Linked DNA regions of Rhinolophus ferrumequinum. The protein of the gene in region 1 purifies or fractionates together with the protein of each later gene. This does not show direct contact. Links are inferred from orthologs where the notes say so. Each region holds a gene or a part of one and is shown on either strand. Other genes may lie near its edges. The genes, in order: GLI3 and BTRC.

Region 1 (8,752 bases):
AAGCATTCTCCTCGCTGGCAACCAGCCAGTCAGCATGGGGAAGCTCAGGCCCAGCCCCTGCTCCACTGCAGGGAGTATGTCCTTCCCAGGCCATTTGGTGGCTGGGGATCTGCCTGCATCCCCCGGACTTTCCCTATATGCACACTGGCTAGTGGGTGCAGTGCACGCAGAACCAAGATGCCCAGGAAATGAGAGAGAGCAGCAGGAAACGTAAATGTGTCTAGAGTTGCCCTTAGCAACTCAAACCAGTGGCAGTGTAGGAATCAGAGGGAATCCAGAAGACAGCATTTTAGGAGAACAGGAGGTCATTGTAGGGAGATGGGGTGAGGGAGAGAGAGTGATGAGTTGGGTGACCCTGGGGTTTGGAACCTTGATTTTTGCTCTATCTCCTTTGTCAAGTTTCCTCTCTCTCGGTACTCACAGCAGTGAGATAACTCATAGTCAGGGCTGCCTGGCTTGGAGGGAGTTCGGCCTTCTCCAGCTGCTCCCACTCAGGGGTCAGGTCAGTTGAGGAAACATGCAGGAATGCAAGAAACCTTATTTTTGTTTTGGACGATAGTTCTCAAATGCAGCCCATACCATATTTCAATTCCCACCGTTTTTCAAAATGATGAGAATCCTTAGGGAACGACTGTCTTAACTGGCACCTACAAACTTCTGAAAGACATACATACACAGAGATGCTAAGGGTCCTAGTTTCAGCACTAATCTGCGTTCTCTGCTGTAATTCAGAAACATTTGAAATGTTGAGCAAGCTGGTTATGAAGTCTGCAAGGAATCTATGTATTTGCATGTCAGACTAAGGAGGCTCCTGGGAAATGCCTCACCATAAGTGCAAAGAGCATGCAGCAGAAAGGCTTACTCCAGTAGCAACCATTCTGTTAGGGCTGGTAGAGAACATTTGAATCCTTATAAGTGTTCACTACGTTAAGCTTGCAAGTTTGGGAACAATAGAGGATGGGTATCAATTCTTGAGTAAAGAAGCTCCTCAACTAATCAGCTATCTCCAGATGGAAAACTAGTAAGACACCTACACATAAGAAATGTGACTTGTAGGATGCACAAGTGATCTCAAATGGATTGAAGGCACCACCTCCCAAAAGATAACCCCATGATGGGAAAACAAAGCAAAGGTGACAGTCCTGCATTTACAGGAGGGAAGCAGCACAAAAGAGGAAGAAAACGGTGGCTATCATGTTTGGCTCTATAGAAGACTTGTTAATCGTGCACCTGCCAAGCAACTCTCCCTCTTGTCTGGTCAAGAGGAATATAGCATCCCCTAGGACGGGTAACGTTGCAAACAAATAACGCTGATTATGCAAAATGTAGCTGCTTCTGGCCACCTTCCTTGGTTGCATAAAGAAAGTTTGTCTGAAGTGTGAATGAAACGCAGCTGGAAGGTGGAAACTCAGCAGGCATTTGTTTGAGCCCCTGGATCCTGCCTTGCCTGCAGTCTGCCTATACACTTCTGGACTTCTCAGTCAGCAAAACACTCCTCCTCCCCCCTTTAAATTTAACTTGAGCCAATTTGAGTTGGAATTTTGTCATTTGCAGCTGGGAGTTTATCGGTACACATGAAATATCCCCTTGGGATTTTGCAATAATTAGTTGGGGGCTATTGTGCAGGGAGATGGAAGAGCTGCCGTGGTAAGTGAAGGCAAGAACGGTCATTATGTATAGCACACACAACCGGGCAAAAAAGTGCAGAGGAGCATGGGAAGTTTATTCTCAGCCCCATCCTTTGTCCTCTCAATTGCAGATCCTTCATTCTCCTTGTCTCTTTCAGTGTTGAATTGTTCAGGGTTGAATTGTGTCTCTACTCTCCCCCCAAAAAAGACATGCTGAAGTTCTAACTCCTGATTTAGAAACAGGGTTGTTGCTGACATACCTAGTTAAGATGAGGCCCTACTGGAGTAGACTGGGCTTCTAGGCCAATGTGACTGGTGCCCCTAGGAAGAGGAGAGACAAACGAAGAGAGAATGACTGTTTCCCAAGCTCAGTGACGATAGTTGCATAAGTTGGAGGGAAGTGGCTACCAGACACGAAACACCAAGGATTGACAGAAGTTAGGAAGAGGCAGGATCTTCCCCTAAAGGTTTCAGAGGGTGCGTGGTCCTGCTGAGACCTTGATTTTGGACTACTAGACTCCAGAACTGTGGGACAATAGATTTCTGTTGTTTTAAGCCACCTAGTTTGTGGCAGCCGTAGGAAATACAAATATCTTCACGTTTCTGACTTCATTCAATTTGGTGCCCCAAAAAAAAAAAATATCTGTCTTATAAGCTTAATCATTTTGAGGACTCATTATATAAAAATTTCCTAGGAGATTTGCATTTGAAAAGAGAACTGATGAGAGAGAGCAATAAATGACTCTATAATGGTGGAATTTTAGACATGGAGAAAGGGCAATCTCAGAGCCTTGTAGGTCTGTAAGTGCCCGTTTATCATTACAAGAGAGGTTCCAATATTGAGTTTCAGGGTGCCTTTTGGATTTTTAGAGATGTCTCAGGAGACCGCCACCCAACTGCAACCAGAGTAGTTCTCTTTTATGTTTTGGGGTTTCCATGTAAGATTTCATTTGGAAAAAGAGTTCTTGTGTCAAAATAGATTGAAAGTCATTGCATTATGTCACTATTTAACTCACACTAAGGCAAACCATATTTTTTGCCTTTGCCATTTCTGCAAAATGTACCCACTTACATACATGTTTACCACCAAAGCAGAGAGCTGTTAGTTCCCGCCAAGAATCTAAGGTGAGGAAATAGGGACACACAGCAGACACCACCATTATTCCTCTTTTGTTTTTAGCTATTCTGATGGACATATGGGGAAAGATTAGCTGCTTTTTCTTTACTCGTCTTTTTAAAACTGAGAAGCAAGATCTTCATGATCCAAAATCTGCTAGAAGACTGTTTTAAGTAAAAGTCAAAATATCGAGTTTATTCAAGTTGTTGATTTATTGGCTGTCTTTCTTTTTATTTATTTTTTGCCATTGGGTGAACAGAGGAGGCTATCAGGATGTATTCTTTGTATTCAGGTGACTGAGGCAGAAGCAGTACTTGAATACAAAAAAAAAAAAATTGTGACTGATGTTGGAGTTTACATAGGAAAGAGGGGCTTGCAATTCCCTGCAACTGCAAAAGTATAATTCTTACATATTTGTGTCTCTTTGTACTTTCACATGCATTATCTTATTGGAAACTCATATAAATCCTGGGAGGTATGTGGCCTGGTTTTCCTATTACCATCCCACAGATGGGATCTGAGCCTGTGGAGACTCACAGAATCCTTCAGGGCCTGAGATCAGTTAGTGAGGGGAAGCTGGGACAGCCACCCTTGTATCCTGAGACACTTGCTCTGTGCAGTAAGTGGTGGGTTTCCCTTCTTTCCTTCCTTCCTGCCTGCCTGCGTTTTAAGAGGGGTGAGGTAGAGAGAGGGAGAGAGAGAGGGAGAGAGAGAGAGAGAGAGAGAGACACGTCTTAAAATAAGTGCCTAAAAAAGACCTTCAGGCCTACTTTATCTCCACAACTTCTACCATGAATGCTTAAGTCAGAGGCGGCTTTTGTAGAGTCTTTAGAAAAGCAACAAGTCCCAGGAAACAAACAGTGAATACCATCATCAATTCCGTTAAAAAATTCTCCAGTTAAGCATTTGAATCTCAAAATGCTCTTCAAATCATAATAGCTAGTCATTCATCCACCCACTCTCTTCCTCAGTCAAGACACTCAGCGAGTCAACACAAGTGCACCCTGAGCTCCCAGGCGCTGCTGGCTGCGGACTGGTGGGTAGAGGCTCAGTTTACTTCAGGAGAATGAATTTTGGAATGTCACAGGGTTGTTTTCTTTCGTTCGTTTCCTTCCTTTGTTCCTCCTAATTTTTTTAAGTTCCAGGTCCAGGATGGGTACATTGAAAGGGAACAGATGTAGGCTGGCTGACTGAGGAAGGAGGGAAAATAATTTTTACTAGTATGGGCCACTGAAAATAAATCAGGGACAGAGACACTTTGTAGCTCAGGGAAAAGCACCACGTAGGAGTCCAGGCTCCAAGCCCGGGGTCTTTGTTTTTGTGTCCTTTATAAAGTGGCCCTTGGGGACAGCAGGCTGTGTAGTGGGAGTTCCCACTTCCCAGAATTGGCCCCAAGGGCAGATGAGACCGGCGGAGAGGAAAACCCTGAGCTTCCAAAAGCATCCTCTGGCGAGAGGGAGTTTCAGGGTTGGGTTATATGGTACAAGTAGAGGGGGAGCCAATGAGGGGTGTGCTCAGAGAGGCCTTAAAAGAAAAATGGGACCCAAACTGTGAGCGAGAGAAAAGGGAGCCGAGAGGCGGGGTGGGAGGCGATGCGCGCGGGCAGGATGCAGCCCCCGCGCGCGGGGAGCTGGGGTAGGGGCCGGCGAGGGCGTCCCAGCGGGGCTGCGAGAGCAAGCGGGGAGGGCAGCAGTGACATCACGCCCGGGCCCCCTTCCCTTCGCCGGGTGGGTGGGGCCTCGGCGCGCGGAGCGGGCGCGGGGTCAAGGAGGGGGAAGAGGAGGAGCAGGCATGAATGTGTCTGCGTGAGGACCCGAGAGAGGCGGAGGAGGTGGAGGAGGCGGAGGGGGGAGGGAGCGCGCGCGTGGCTCCCGGCGCCCCGGCTACCCCCAGTCCCCTACCTCGGCCCGCGCCGCGCCGCCTCCTGTGCAGCACCGCCCGCATCGCAGCTGGGACCCGCTCCGGGCACGGCGACCCGGCGCGGCCTGGAAGGAGCGAGAAAGCAAAAGTAAGGCAAGCTGTACTCCAAGTTTTCCCAACTTCGCCCCCTGCGGCGGCAGGCGTCCAGCTGCTCGGCGCGTCCCCACGGCGCTAGAGAGTGGCAGAAAGAAAAGGGACCGGGCGGGGGCGGGGGCGGAGGAAGAGAGCGCGCGGGTGAGGGGAGAGTCCGGCAACATCTGTTAAAACTTGGGGGAGGAGGAGCGCGGGCAGGAGGAGGAGGAAGAGGAGAGGAGGGAAAGAGGGAGCGCGAGGGAGGGACGCGTAGAACCGAGGGACAACTTTTCCACCGCGTGAGTAGCGCGGGCTGCGCTGGGCCGGGGTGGGGGGCTCTTCCACCCGCGCGGGTCTCCAGGCCGGGATGGGACCTTCTTCCAGAAAGTCGATTGGATGCCAGGAGGGGCTTACGGTGGGGGCTTTCTTTCTTTCTCTTTCCCCTCCCTCCCGCGGGTGAACCAAATCAGAACTGTCACTCAGGGCCTGTGAGTCAGAAGGGATCGGATTACAAGATCCCTGAAACCGATGCCGGAGCTGCACGAGCGGGCGGGAGCGGGCAGGGGCAGCGCCACCGGCGCGCTCGCACACTCGCCGTCGCGCATACTCGCCTCCCCGACTCGCCCTCCCTACGCGCCCCGCGGCCGCCCGCGCCGCACCATGCCCACGGCCGGCGCTCCTCGCGCCCAGCCCCTCCGATCGCCGTAGTCCGAGCCGCCTGCGTGTCGCGGAGCCGGGAGCCACCCGCCCGCATCCCAGACGTGGGTCTATGGGAAGTTTGGGGACTTGACAGCCGCCGCTGCCGCAGGTACGTCCCACCCAAAGTTCTTTGTTTCGTTGGCCGCGCGTCGGGCAGCCTGCTCCTGCGGTCGTGCGGGCGCCTCCAGGTCGAGAGGGGTTCCCCGATAGGGGGAACCGGAGAAAGTGAAAATGGCTGTCAAAAGCGCCCAGATTTAGAGAGCAACCCCGTAAGGCGTCAGATCAAGGCTTTCATTCGCTTACTCCTTGAAGCTCCCTTTCCAAGTGTCTGCCCCCTCGGCCATCGGGAGACGGGCTGGAAAATTGCACATCCTGGATGGGGACGAAGTTTGCAGCAGCGACGACGGCGCCCCTCGTACCCACTCCCCACCCAAAGGGTGAAGAGGAGCTAGGTTAGGTTAGACCTCTAAAGCTCGGGCGTCTGCCTGCGCACTGTTGCGTCCTCCTTCGGTTCCCCGCGCGGCGTACTGCGGGCGGGTCCGCGCGGGGTTCGCGGCTGCGGGGTTTCCTCTAGCTTGAGCTTCCCTTCGGAGGGCGGGGGAGCGGTGTGCGCCCAGGGACAGGCGCGCCTCCGCCGTAATAGAGGAAAAGTGAAAGTCGTACCATCTGTGTATGATTTGGAATTCTTTCATTTCTTTTTCTTTCCAGGGACAGCACACACACACACACACACACAAAGACATAACAGAAAACAAAAGAAATAAAAGCGTTAGAAGCTGCAGGGAGTGAATGCGGGAGTGTGGGTAACCGTGGCCCCTGCAATAATAATTTAAGAGGCCGAATTTTCACAGAGCAGAACTGTGTATGAATCACTCTGCAGGGGACAGTTACTTTGAGTTGCCGAGGGAAAATGGGAGGGAGGAGGTCGAGAGGGAGTAAATATTTACCCCAAAGTTGGAGACTTTGTGAAACGACTTTTAAGCAGATTGCCAGAGGCCAAAGCACCACTGCACACCCGGGCCTTTTATCCTTCCCAGAACTTTGTGCTCCTGTCCCTGATTGCACCTCCTTCAGGAGTTGCCACCCCTAGAGAGGCTGGACCCAGGCTTCCCTTGCTGACCCCGTGTAGAAAGAGGCTTAAGGAGGCAGCCACCTCGCACTCTTCTGCCCCCACTTCTCATGTCCCTGATGTGCGGTGCCGAAGAGATTCTGGCCTTGGGTGCAGTGCTCGTGGCCCACTGCCAGTTTATATGTACATGTATTTATGTAAAACATTTTCTCCCAGCTCCTTGCCAGCTGTTCCACATTTTCCAGCTGCCATTTCAGTTTGAAATGATGGACTGTCCGCATCTCCCAAGTAAAAGAGCCCTGTAGTCAGAGGTGTGGGGCCACAAAAAATAATTTTTCCTCCCATCTTCTGAGTTCTAGCTGGGCTAATAAATTAACATGAGAGAGATCAACAGGGAAGAGTGTCCAAAATTTATCACGGATGTTCATGCCGGGGTGCCATCAGAATATGAGGCCTGAGGATACATTGGGCTTTGAGGTTTCTATGCCATTCTGGACAAAGGAGAGGGAAGCAGGGGTCTGGGATTTCAAAGGGAACGTGGGCAGTTTACAGGTAGATGAGAAAGAGCAAACATGTGGTAAACAAACTCTTGCTGGGCCACCCAGAAACAATAGGACATAGAGAGAAGTCCAACAAACAGGCTTGGCTAGATTTCTCCCTCTCTGCCACATTGAGTTTAGAATCTGACGCTAAGGTGATGCTCCTATCCTTTAAGCAGGTTTTTCTGTCTGAATTCCTTTAGGCAGGCAAGGGGAGGGTTCTTTCTGAATCTTTTGTTTCGTAATAAATTACCATTAAAAGTCAATATCCCCAAAGGCGTATTTTGGGGTGGGAAAAATTTGGTCCCCCTCAAAGGTATGGAGGGCAGGCCGTTGTGCAAAGTCATGGGCAGGGCCATTAGTCTGACTGATAGTAGTTCTGAAAAAAAACACTTCTGCTCTCCTTTTCCTTTCCTCCTCCCCCCCAATTCTTTCCAGAGCACTTTTCTGGAAATTCACAATAAGTCGGCTTTTCCCCCCACATGTGATTTTGTACAGAATTTGGATGAGTCCTTTTTTTCTTGAAGATCCCTGAAATATGTGTATGCTGCTAGAAATAAATTAACTTTTAAAAAGAGTTTGAGTGTGTTGGGCATGGCTGGTGGGGTCGCCTCTGCCTTGGGCAGCTGAAATGATTTCATTTCAGTCTATTTAAGGTAGGAACTATTCATTCTTCCCGTTTTACGCTTTTTGTGTTGTTTGATGTCTTAGCGTATTATAGACTGAAATCTTCAAGAATTGGCCTAAAGTATTAATTTTGACTATTTATGTAATTGCTCTGTAATTTGAATAGGTGCCTTATTGATTGATTCTGGTAATTATTTCATTTAGGTTTTAAATTAAAAATTAATAATAGTCTGACAGTTTCTTAATTACATGTGTCAAGATTATTTTGAAGGAGGAAAATGCTATGTTTTAAAGTAGTGAAATATCCTCAAAATCTCCTCATTTTTCGAAAGCATAACAGTATTTCAGTTGAATATATTAAGGCAGTGGTGATAGGTCTTAACAATGTAAACTGTGTGAAGTATCTAAAGAATTTGTTTATGTTAGGAAATACTGGTCTTAACCTGGTACATAAACACTTTGGCCAGTTATAGTCAGACCTAAAACAAACATGAAATAACATTTAAATTAGTTGTAATAGCCAGCATACTTATAGAGAGAAGAGAATTTATTTTATGCTAAAAGCTATTTAATTAGAAACTCCCTGCCTAAGGGCAGATCCTTTCAAGATATGTAATTCTTAAAGTTAGCCTAGGGAAGCTTTGGTTTCGGATGCTTGAATGAGTCCAACTTGAGAGGTGTCTTATGAAGTACTTTAAAAGGTATAGATTATGTTATAATTAATAGGTTAGTAGGTCCAACTCGATGTCTACCTTTAACGTGTTTGTATTTCTTGATTGAACCCTGCTATCAACACGTTTTATTGTATGTCTGATTTGCAGAAAACTACACACACAAATGAGAAAATGAGTACTGATGAAAAATGGCTCTGTTGAGTTATTTCATTACTTATTTAATAAAAGAGTCATTAATTTATCATTTGATGCCCAAGCCTAAAGTTGAACTTTCCTTTGTTTCTAGGCTAGTTCTCTTAATTACCTGCATGCTATGCTGTAAGGGTTTCAGACTTCTGTGCATTGCTGGTTAGAAGTCCTTCCTTCTTTGTAAGCTATCCTGCTCACTGAGATTCTCCTTCCGCCCT
Region 2 (8,970 bases), on another chromosome or scaffold:
AAATGACTCTTACGTGCAATCAGAGTTGAGAACCCCAGCAGGTATAGGAGAGGGGAATGCCATGCAATGAGAAAAAAGTGCAGGCAGATGTGGAATATTTCTGACTCCAGTCTGCTATGTGTTATAAGCACACACTACAGAGATGGTGGGAGTTAGAAGAGCAGGAGGGCATGATTCTTGTGGATTGGGTGTTGCCAGAGAAGGTAAAATGTGTAAACTGGCTTAAAAAAAAAGCGAAAATCTCAATGTCAAGTGTGGTGGAGTAGTGTGGTGGAAGCATAGACTGTTGTGGTCTTTCTGTACTGCAGTTTGACATTACATAGTCCAACTAAATATCCTTAATAGTCTATGAACCAGCAAGTATGATTTTTCGGTAAATATTCTCAAAGATAGTGTTGCTCAGGGATCACGTAGGAGGTTGATCACTACAGCTTTATTGGGGGTGATTGGAGGCTTTGCTGGGAGAGTAGATAGGTAGAATGTGGGAGCTACACACCATCAGACTATTATTCAGCAGTTAGAAGCAACAGATTAGATGTACGTATAGCAACATGAATGGATCTTAAAATCATAGATACTGGGTGCAAAAGGTATGAAACATAGTAAGATATATAAAACAATATTACATTTGTGAATTGTAAATGTAGCACACCACCTCCAACAAAAAATGCAGCATACAAAACAATATTTATTTTGAAAGACCCATACAAATAAACATTGCCTGTGCGGGGAGGGCAGGCTGTAGTGCTAAAAGGCAATAGATAACTATTTTTCAAAAGTAAGATTTAAATCAGACCTTGAAAGATGGGTAGGAAAGAGGAGGAAAAGGAAGCCTTCTAGAATGGTAAAATGACTCCCATAAGTTAAGGCCAGGAGGCAGGAGTGTGCTAAGCACGTGGAGTAGGAGAACAGTCTATTTGGAGCAGAGGGTTATATTAAAACAAGTGGGAAGTAAGGCTAGAGAGGGAGGATTGGATAAGATTTGAAAGGTCTGGAAAGCTAGAAAAAGGAATTTAAGCAATGATAAAGTAGTTAAGAGAGCCATAAAAGGATTGATCAGGGAAGAAATGTGATGGAAGTGAAGTCAGATGAGGCGGATGGAGAGAGCCTGGAGTCAGAGAACTGGATGGGAAGTGAATAAATACTATAGTGAACTAAGAACAAAGATAAAACAGGTAGTCTGGAACAGGCTTGCATTGGAGGTGGAGGCTGAAAGAGACATTTTGATAGATTATTGGCTGAATACAGACACTAATAGACAAGGTTAAGCCAGAGTACCCTGTGGTCTTAAACAAGGAAATTAATGGAAGAAATTAAGTCCAGCAGTAGCCTGAGATTTCTCACACTGGAAATCCAGTTTTCCAGTAACGTGGAACTTTAAAGGTTCTAATGATTCAGTCTTCTCCTTGAACAAGCACCATAAGCCGGGCTCATAGGTACACCCATTTTAGAGATGGCAGAGATCTTTGTTTTCCAGATGACAAAAGAGAGGACCAGAGAGGTTCAGTTAATTGCACAAATACAACCAATTAACTGGAGAAAGGATGGGCTAGAACCAGGTCTCTTAACTATTAGTCCAATGAACTTTCCTAAACTTTGTTGGATACGAGAGGCTTGAAAATCAAGGCAATTCACATTTGGATTTCTGTTTGCCTGACCATGAGTGGTCAATTTTCAAGAAAAAGGACTTACCCTTTGTGTACCCAGCCCCTGCCAGCTTACTTTCAATCCATATGCATATGAACTGTCTAGCTGGCTGGGCTTCTAAACAAAAACTCCTTGTGTTTGTTTTACTAATCCTGACCTCTACATGACTGGACAAAGTGAGGACTGCCACTGACTGCCAGCCTCATCAGGCAATATTTTCATCCTCCTCTCTGGATAAAAAAGTAAAACAAATGACTTCTAAAAAGAATAAAACCTTAGAGTTTGAAAGATCTTAACCTCCCACCCAAACTGAACCCCCCTGACAGATGGTCATCCTGCCTCTATGTTTTCAGAAATAGGGCAGTCTATTCCTCTGTCAGGACAGCTCTGATTACTAGAAAGCTCTGAGTCTGAGTCCTATGTCACTGTAGTGTGAGTCAGTGAAAATAGCACAGGCCTTGGAGTCAAGCAGACTTGAGTTAGAATCCTAACTATGTAATTTGCTGCATGACTTGAGCAAGTTATTTATCTTCTACCAGTATCATTCACTTCATCTGTACATTAAGGATAATATCAGTTTTACAGAGTTACTATGAATATTAGAGATTATGAATGTAAAATGCCTACTACAGTGCCTGGCACAAAGAGCTAATAAAGTGATAGCTGTTGTTATCATCATCATAATTATTATCCCACCTATTGGTCCTAGTTTGCCTTATGGTGCTACATATACATGCCTTTCAATACTTTTGAATACTTAAATTTAGTTGTCATGTTATTCCTAAGTGTTCTTTTTTTCAGAGTAAGCATCCATCAGTATTTTCTCTTTTGGTTATCCTTCTCTTGGCTATACTCCTGCATCTGATGTTTGTAGAACATGGTGCCTGTAACTGAACAAAGTACTCCAGGTGTGATCTGAGTGCTTCAAAACAGAGTAAGACCATAAGCCTCTATTTCCCAGACACCACTCTTCAAGCTGCCTAGGACTCCTTTGGCTTCCCCCCCCCCTTCTTCCTCATCCCTCCCCACCCCCAGCCCCCTGACTCTAGTTCAAGCTGTTATTTTTCAGTCTAGCTGTGTAGGACACAGCTCCCTGGCCCATGCTGGTATTATGAGCCTTGCGTTCCCCCTGGCTGAGGCAGTCGGTCGCCTGTCGTTGGTGCGCTGCTCACAGCGGCTCACAGGCAGCTCTGGCCAGCTGCCCACTGCTCATGGCAGCCCACAGTAGCTGAGGGCAGCTCAGGATGGTTGCCGGCCACTCACATTGCCGGCCACTCTCCAAAGCACACGACAGCAGGTGGTAGCTCATGCCAACCTCCGGCTGCTCAGGGCAACCCAGCTCCAGGGAGAACTGTTGTTCACAATGCTATAGAGGGCGCAGCTCACTGGCCCAAGTGGGAATCAAACCAGCAACTTGGGCATTAGGAGCACTGGGCTTCAACCACCTGAGCCACCCGGCCGGCCCTCCTTTAGCTTTTTTGGTGACCATGTCACAGACTGTCTTAGTCCTATGAAAACCTCCAGGTATTTTTCATTTGAGTGAGTTTTAAGTCTTCCACATTTTTGCACTTGTGTAGAATTTGTTTTTAAAATTCAAGAGTAAACTTTTTATTGATTGAAAGCTTATTATGTATTAGGTATGGTGCTGAGTTCAATACATAAGGATGACTAGGACAGAATATCAACATATTAGAAATGCAAGCTCTACAAGACTGGGTCTATCATGCTCACTGGGTCTATCCAAGAATCTCCATTTCTTGGAACGATGTCTCCACATGGTTATGTGCTTACTGTTGTTGAATTAGCGAATGAATAGTTTATAAGGGAAGTTTTTCTTATAAGTGAAAAGGCATTTCCCCAATTCACTTATTTTATAAATTCAGATTATTATTATTATTTTTACAACCCTATCATTTTTAGACCAGTGTTTTTTCCATCTAGGGTAGACCCAGTTTCCAAAATGAACTTGTACTGTCCCTTTCAAGGCCAAACTAAATACTTATATGCTTTATTTGCTGGATGGCCATTATGTTCCACTATTGAAGGTCTTTGTAAGTACTTGTTTGACCCTTAATGCAGGGCTTACATCTCATGGTTAGCAGTAGCAGCTCAACTTTCTGAGTGCTAACCCCCTGAGAATTTCCAGAACCGAGTTCTATTGGGCCCTGCCTTGGTGTGGGGGAGAATAAGGTCCTCGGGAGAAGTGTTGCTTAGGAGGACCTTGAAATTCTGCATTCGTCTGTGTAAGGGGCGGCCAGATGCTTATAGGCCCAGCGCCTCTGGGTCGAAATCCATCCCGCAGAGGTCAAATATATGAAATTTAGGGGTGTCCAGTTCTCTAAAACCACAGTTAGGCAGGTCTTAGGAACTCTGTAGAGTCCTCACAGTGTTTCCCAGTATTAATGGGCTACAGCTGAGGCACTGGTCGCCATCTTGCTATGAAATGCCAGGCAAGCGGTCCCTGGCGTCTTTTGGTAACCACGGAGACACCCTTGCCCCTCCCGTTTTTCAGCCTGTCGAGGCTATAAACTACGATTCCCATCAGCTGATTTCCTCTACTAGAAGGATAGTTGTCTAGATTTGGCTTGTCAGTCACCGCGACCCTGCCGCAGTGAACCGCGGGAGTTGCAGTTCGCGGTGGGACCTCACTTTTTGCTGCGTAAAGCTCCAGAACTACAAATCCAGTGAGCCAGTGGGTTTACGCATGCGCACGAAATAGCCGGTCCTCCCTGGCCCCCCTGGCCCCCCTGCGGGTGCCTGAGAGGTAAGAGGGCGGAGGGAAGAAAGAGGAGGCGGGATCCGGGCGCTGCGTTGGCTGCGGCCTGGCACCAAGGGGGCGGCCCCGGCGGAGTGCAGACCCAGTGGCCCCCGGCGATTATGGACCCGGCCGAGGCGGTGCTGCAGGAAAAAGCGCTCAAGTTTATGGTGAGGAGAAGGTGCAGGCCGGGGAATGGTGTTGGCGGTGGCGTTGGCGGCATCGCTGAGGCTCGGGCCTGGACAGCTTGTCCGCCGGAGGAGGGGGCAGCGGGACTGTGGGCCGAGGCCGGCAGCGGGGGCTGCTGAAGGGGACGGGACAGGAGCTCCAGGGAGGCGGGAGGGGGTGGTGGAGAGCACCCGGGGTGGGGGCAGCAGCTCCGCCATCTTGTGGATGAGAGGCCAAGTGACAGCGGGAGCTTAATCGGGGAGGGGGCTCCGGGCGGCGCGCGGGGCCCTGGAGGGAAAGGGGCGTGGGGACAGTTACTGAAGTGCTCGAAGGGGAGACGCGGTGAGGCCGCTGGCAGGGCCTTTCCAGTGCCAGGGTCACGGGTAAGGCTTGGGAGAAGAGGTGCATTCAGGAGTGGGGAAGGGGAGCGCGGAATAGTGGGAGGAAAGAGATTGGGGGGAGGGGGACCGGCAGGGCTGGATGCAGATGGATCTGAGGGTGGAGGAAAGCCAGGGCTGGTGCGAGACTTGTAGTTTTATAAAATGAGGGCGTAGAAATAGCCTTTACCTTCAGGGTGCAATCCCAGCTTGGCCAAACTAATGTTGGCAAACTCTGGAAAGGAAGAGGTCTTAGGAAAATAAGAACTGGGGATGGGGATCTAGGGTTATGGTGACAGTCTCTGGGAAAGGAAGGGGGGTGTTGACTATGAGCCAGAATTACAGATGTCAGAAAAGGGGGTACACATTCTACTTTGAAAGGAGAGGCCAAATATTGTAGTAAGGATGAGGAGATGAAAAGCAAGAGGTTGATTGGTCAAGGAAACCTGGGTTACACGAGATTGGGGGCAAATTAATATTAATAGGGTTAAAACAAAACAAAAGTGCTAAATTGTAGAGATAGTAAAGTGGGGGCCAGGCGCTATATCACTTTCTGGGAAAGGAAAGGCGGTGGAGATTAGAATCACAAGACCTGTGAGTGATGAGATCAGTGGAGAAATTCAGGAGATAAAAGAGGGAATGTCAGTAATGGGAAATGGGAGATGTCACGATTGGTGGTTACTTATCAGTTTTAGGTTGAAGCACACATCAGGAGCTTGGATTGAATTTTGTGGGTGTGTTTAAATCCTTTGGAGCCCAGTTTTTAAACTTTGTGTCATGCTTTTTTTCTATGTTTATGTTTGGCAATTTTTTATAGTCTGATATTTGATGCTTTTAATCTGATGCTTCTTGTATATCCTAGGTGTAAAACCAGACTTTATGGTTACAGCTAAAGAATGATGGGATGCATAGACTTCTACCTTAACAGGTGGCCTTAGGGGCATTGATATTATTTGCAGTCAATACCTTTTCAGAAGTAATTGTAACCTGTCACTACAAATCTTACTTCTTAGTTGTTATTTTGTGTCTTTGCCTGAAAAACCAAAATAAATCTAAATAAACATGGACACTAACCTAATTCCATTTAGTCTTTAACCGGCCCTATTTACAAGAATACATTTTCAGAGACTGGTCAGATTTACTAAAACTTTATTTTGTGTTAGTGCTTTCGAAAACACCTAACTAAAGCTTGAGTGTATTATCAACAAAATTCCATGTTGGAAAAGGTTCTTGAGTTTGTACCCAATGTTGAAATTCTAAAATATTAAGACAAGACTTTGACATTTTTTGGACTTCAAAAGTAAGAGGAAGTTGCTTTATATCTATAGCCAGCTTCTATATTGAAGTCAGAAAAGTGGCAGATGCTTATTTTTATTTTCCTCCTTAGAGGTTGACTTAATCCTAATCTTGACACTTCTGTTAGTTTTATGGAATAGTGTGATTTACAGATCATAAAGAGACATTATGAGATCATCTATTCTCAATCAGACCTCAGTCTAGGAATATTCTCAACTACTTGATCCCTGCTTTGTACCAGTGAGTTGTATTTCGATAATGGTCAGATTCAGTTAAAGTGGATCTGGAGATGGCCATGTAGTAGTTTGCAGCTTTTAGGGCACCACGTGTTATTAAATGTTGAGTCAGTTTCCAGAGAGAGAAGCCAGTTTTTTCTTTAGTTACTTTTATTTTTGACCTTGCCTGCTATTGTGGCTGCTGTTTGAGAAAAGGCCAACTGAAAGAAGGTCACCAAGAATGTCACCTTAATAACTGAAGCAGAGAATGGAGAGTTAGAGATTTGGTATTCTTTTTCAGCTCAGTAACAGCCTTATTATGAATCTGAGTAAGTCTCAACTTGCCTTTGGTCCCATTTACCCTGCTTTGTAACATGTCTGTTTACTTGGAGTCAATTTTGAGATAGGAAGATATTTTATTTGTGCTTGCACCAAGTGATTAGTACACAATACACATGGAAGGGCTATGCTTTTAATCAAATTGATAATTATATAGAGTGTATGGCTTTGTTTTGGCCTTATCTTTCCCTCAGTTGTGAATTATGAATGACAGTTTTTGTGTGGATGCCCTGACTTCCATAGTTTAAGAAAATGCAGTTTGTTAAAAATACCAAGATGAAATGGATATTCCCTTTTACGTATTTTGCTCATTACCACATTAATGTAGTGCTTCAGTTAGGAATTTTGCAATAGAATCTTATTAATGAGACTGCTAATTCAGACTTGCCCATAATTCGCATGTGGTCTAGATTTAAAAGTTTATGCTTGGATACTTGTGAAAAGTAGTTTAACTTCTAGAAACAAATGATATTAAAGAAGTAGTTTACGTTAAATAACCTATATGCTAATATCTCTCATTCAGCTTTAGCAGGTCCTCAAGGATCTTTCCTAATACTTCCTTGGTCAACAAAATTATAATTCCTCAGAAAAGATAATTGGGAACTGGGAGAGGACCTGAGAAGAGAAATGAAAATAATTGAGGGAATGTAGGCACCATATAGGAGAGATATAGTTAAAAAAAACACAAAACTATATATATATATATATATATATATATATATATATATATATATATAAAAAAATGGAAAAGCAAGTTGAGGGATGAATTTTAAATTTATTTAAGAAAATGGACAGGGTAAACCAGTTCCAGAATGTTAGAACTGGGGAAACATTTGAAACTTGGATGAAATAATTTAGGGCATATAAAAGAGTTTTTTATACAGTTGATAGATAAGTGAAACTGTATAAAGATAACTTGCTGTATAACGAAGCACCCCAAAATTTAGTAGCTGAGAAAAACCCAGTTAATTATTTCTTTCAAATCTGTGGTTGACTGATGGGTTTTCTGCTTTCCTTGGTGTTGGCAGGGGCACCCGCAGGATTGGAATGTTCAAAATGGCCACACTCCCGGGGCTGGCGGCTGACTGAGTTCAGCTGGCTCTAAAGGCCTCCAGGCCTCCTTTTTGGGGCCTCCTCTCTCCACCCGGCCTTTGGATTTCCATAGAGCATGGTCCCGCGCTCTGAGGAGGAGCATTCAAGGAGATAGGAAATAGAAGGCAATGAGCCAGTTCTTTCAAGTCCTAGGTTTGAAAGTCTGAGAAGGTCGCTATTGGCCAAAGATAGTCAAGGGCCAGCCCTGCGTCAGAGGGAGGGGCAGTAATCTCCACCTGCAGACATGCACAGTGGCGTGCGTAACACAGGGGGACGTTGCTTGGGGGTGGGTATGCCCTTTTGAGACTGGCTACCATAGATGCTATTCTAGGTGGATGTCCAGGCTAAACATACAAATGGGATCAGCCATATTGTGGGTTTTAACACTAGGACTGCTTTAGAGGCATCTCTTTTCGGAGGTTAACTTCTCAAGGAACGAACATGCTCTCCTTCATGACTTGCCTTAATAATGTTACTCTACACATAATACTGGGTGAATTAATAATGATTCAGTAACTTTTCTTATTTGCTTGAGAAGCATTATATCTAAAAGCAAGAAATTACATTAAAAATAAATACTCAGATTTTTCAGTGTACGGGCTTTTAATTGGTAAGGTTGATTACCAGCTGGTTGGATGAACATTTGAAACCACTTCTTAAAGTTATCAGAGTTTCTCTGTATCCCTTACCTGTTCCCAATTTACATTAGCCTTCAGTTTCTTTTCGGGATACTTTTATACAGTATAGGTATTGGGCTATGAAATTACAAATTAGTGTTTTATATTGTATTCATTTTTTTGATTCATCTTTGTAATAGGTGCACCATAACAAATTACTGGAAGTGATTTATAGATGTGGAATAAAAATTCTGTTTGAATGGTTGTCAGAATTCTTTATTGCTATATTAGAAAATGAACTTTCAAGAGACCACTTGTTATTCTGTATTATTTGTATACTGTTTAAATCCTTAAAGAAAGGAAGCAGATAAGAATTTTTTTTCCTTGCTAAAGCGAGACAGAACATTATGTAAGATCTTCTATTTATTTAATTTTCTTTTTCACAGTTACTCTGACCCTCAGGA

The links.
Region 2: the proteins of GLI3 (region 1) and BTRC purify together in Homo sapiens (affinity purification with western blotting, with the first as the bait; 3 studies listed by BioGRID). This does not show direct contact. The link is inferred for Rhinolophus ferrumequinum from reciprocal best matches to the Homo sapiens genes GLI3 and BTRC.

Annotation. Positions count from the first base shown.
Region 1 is NC_046303.1:55,777,386-55,786,137, reverse strand, and holds the start of GLI3 (transcriptional activator GLI3), read left to right. Parts: upstream 1-4,973; 5' UTR 4,974-5,036; intron 5,037-8,752. UniProt on the Homo sapiens protein: Has a dual function as a transcriptional activator and a repressor of the sonic hedgehog (Shh) pathway, and plays a role in limb development.
Region 2 is NC_046299.1:23,421,001-23,429,970, reverse strand, and holds the start of BTRC (F-box/WD repeat-containing protein 1A), read left to right. Parts: upstream 1-4,389; 5' UTR 4,390-4,524; coding exon 4,525-4,572; intron 4,573-4,888; exon of another isoform or gene 4,889-4,953; intron 4,954-8,970. UniProt on the Homo sapiens protein: Substrate recognition component of a SCF (SKP1-CUL1-F-box protein) E3 ubiquitin-protein ligase complex which mediates the ubiquitination and subsequent proteasomal degradation of target proteins. Recognizes and binds to phosphorylated target proteins.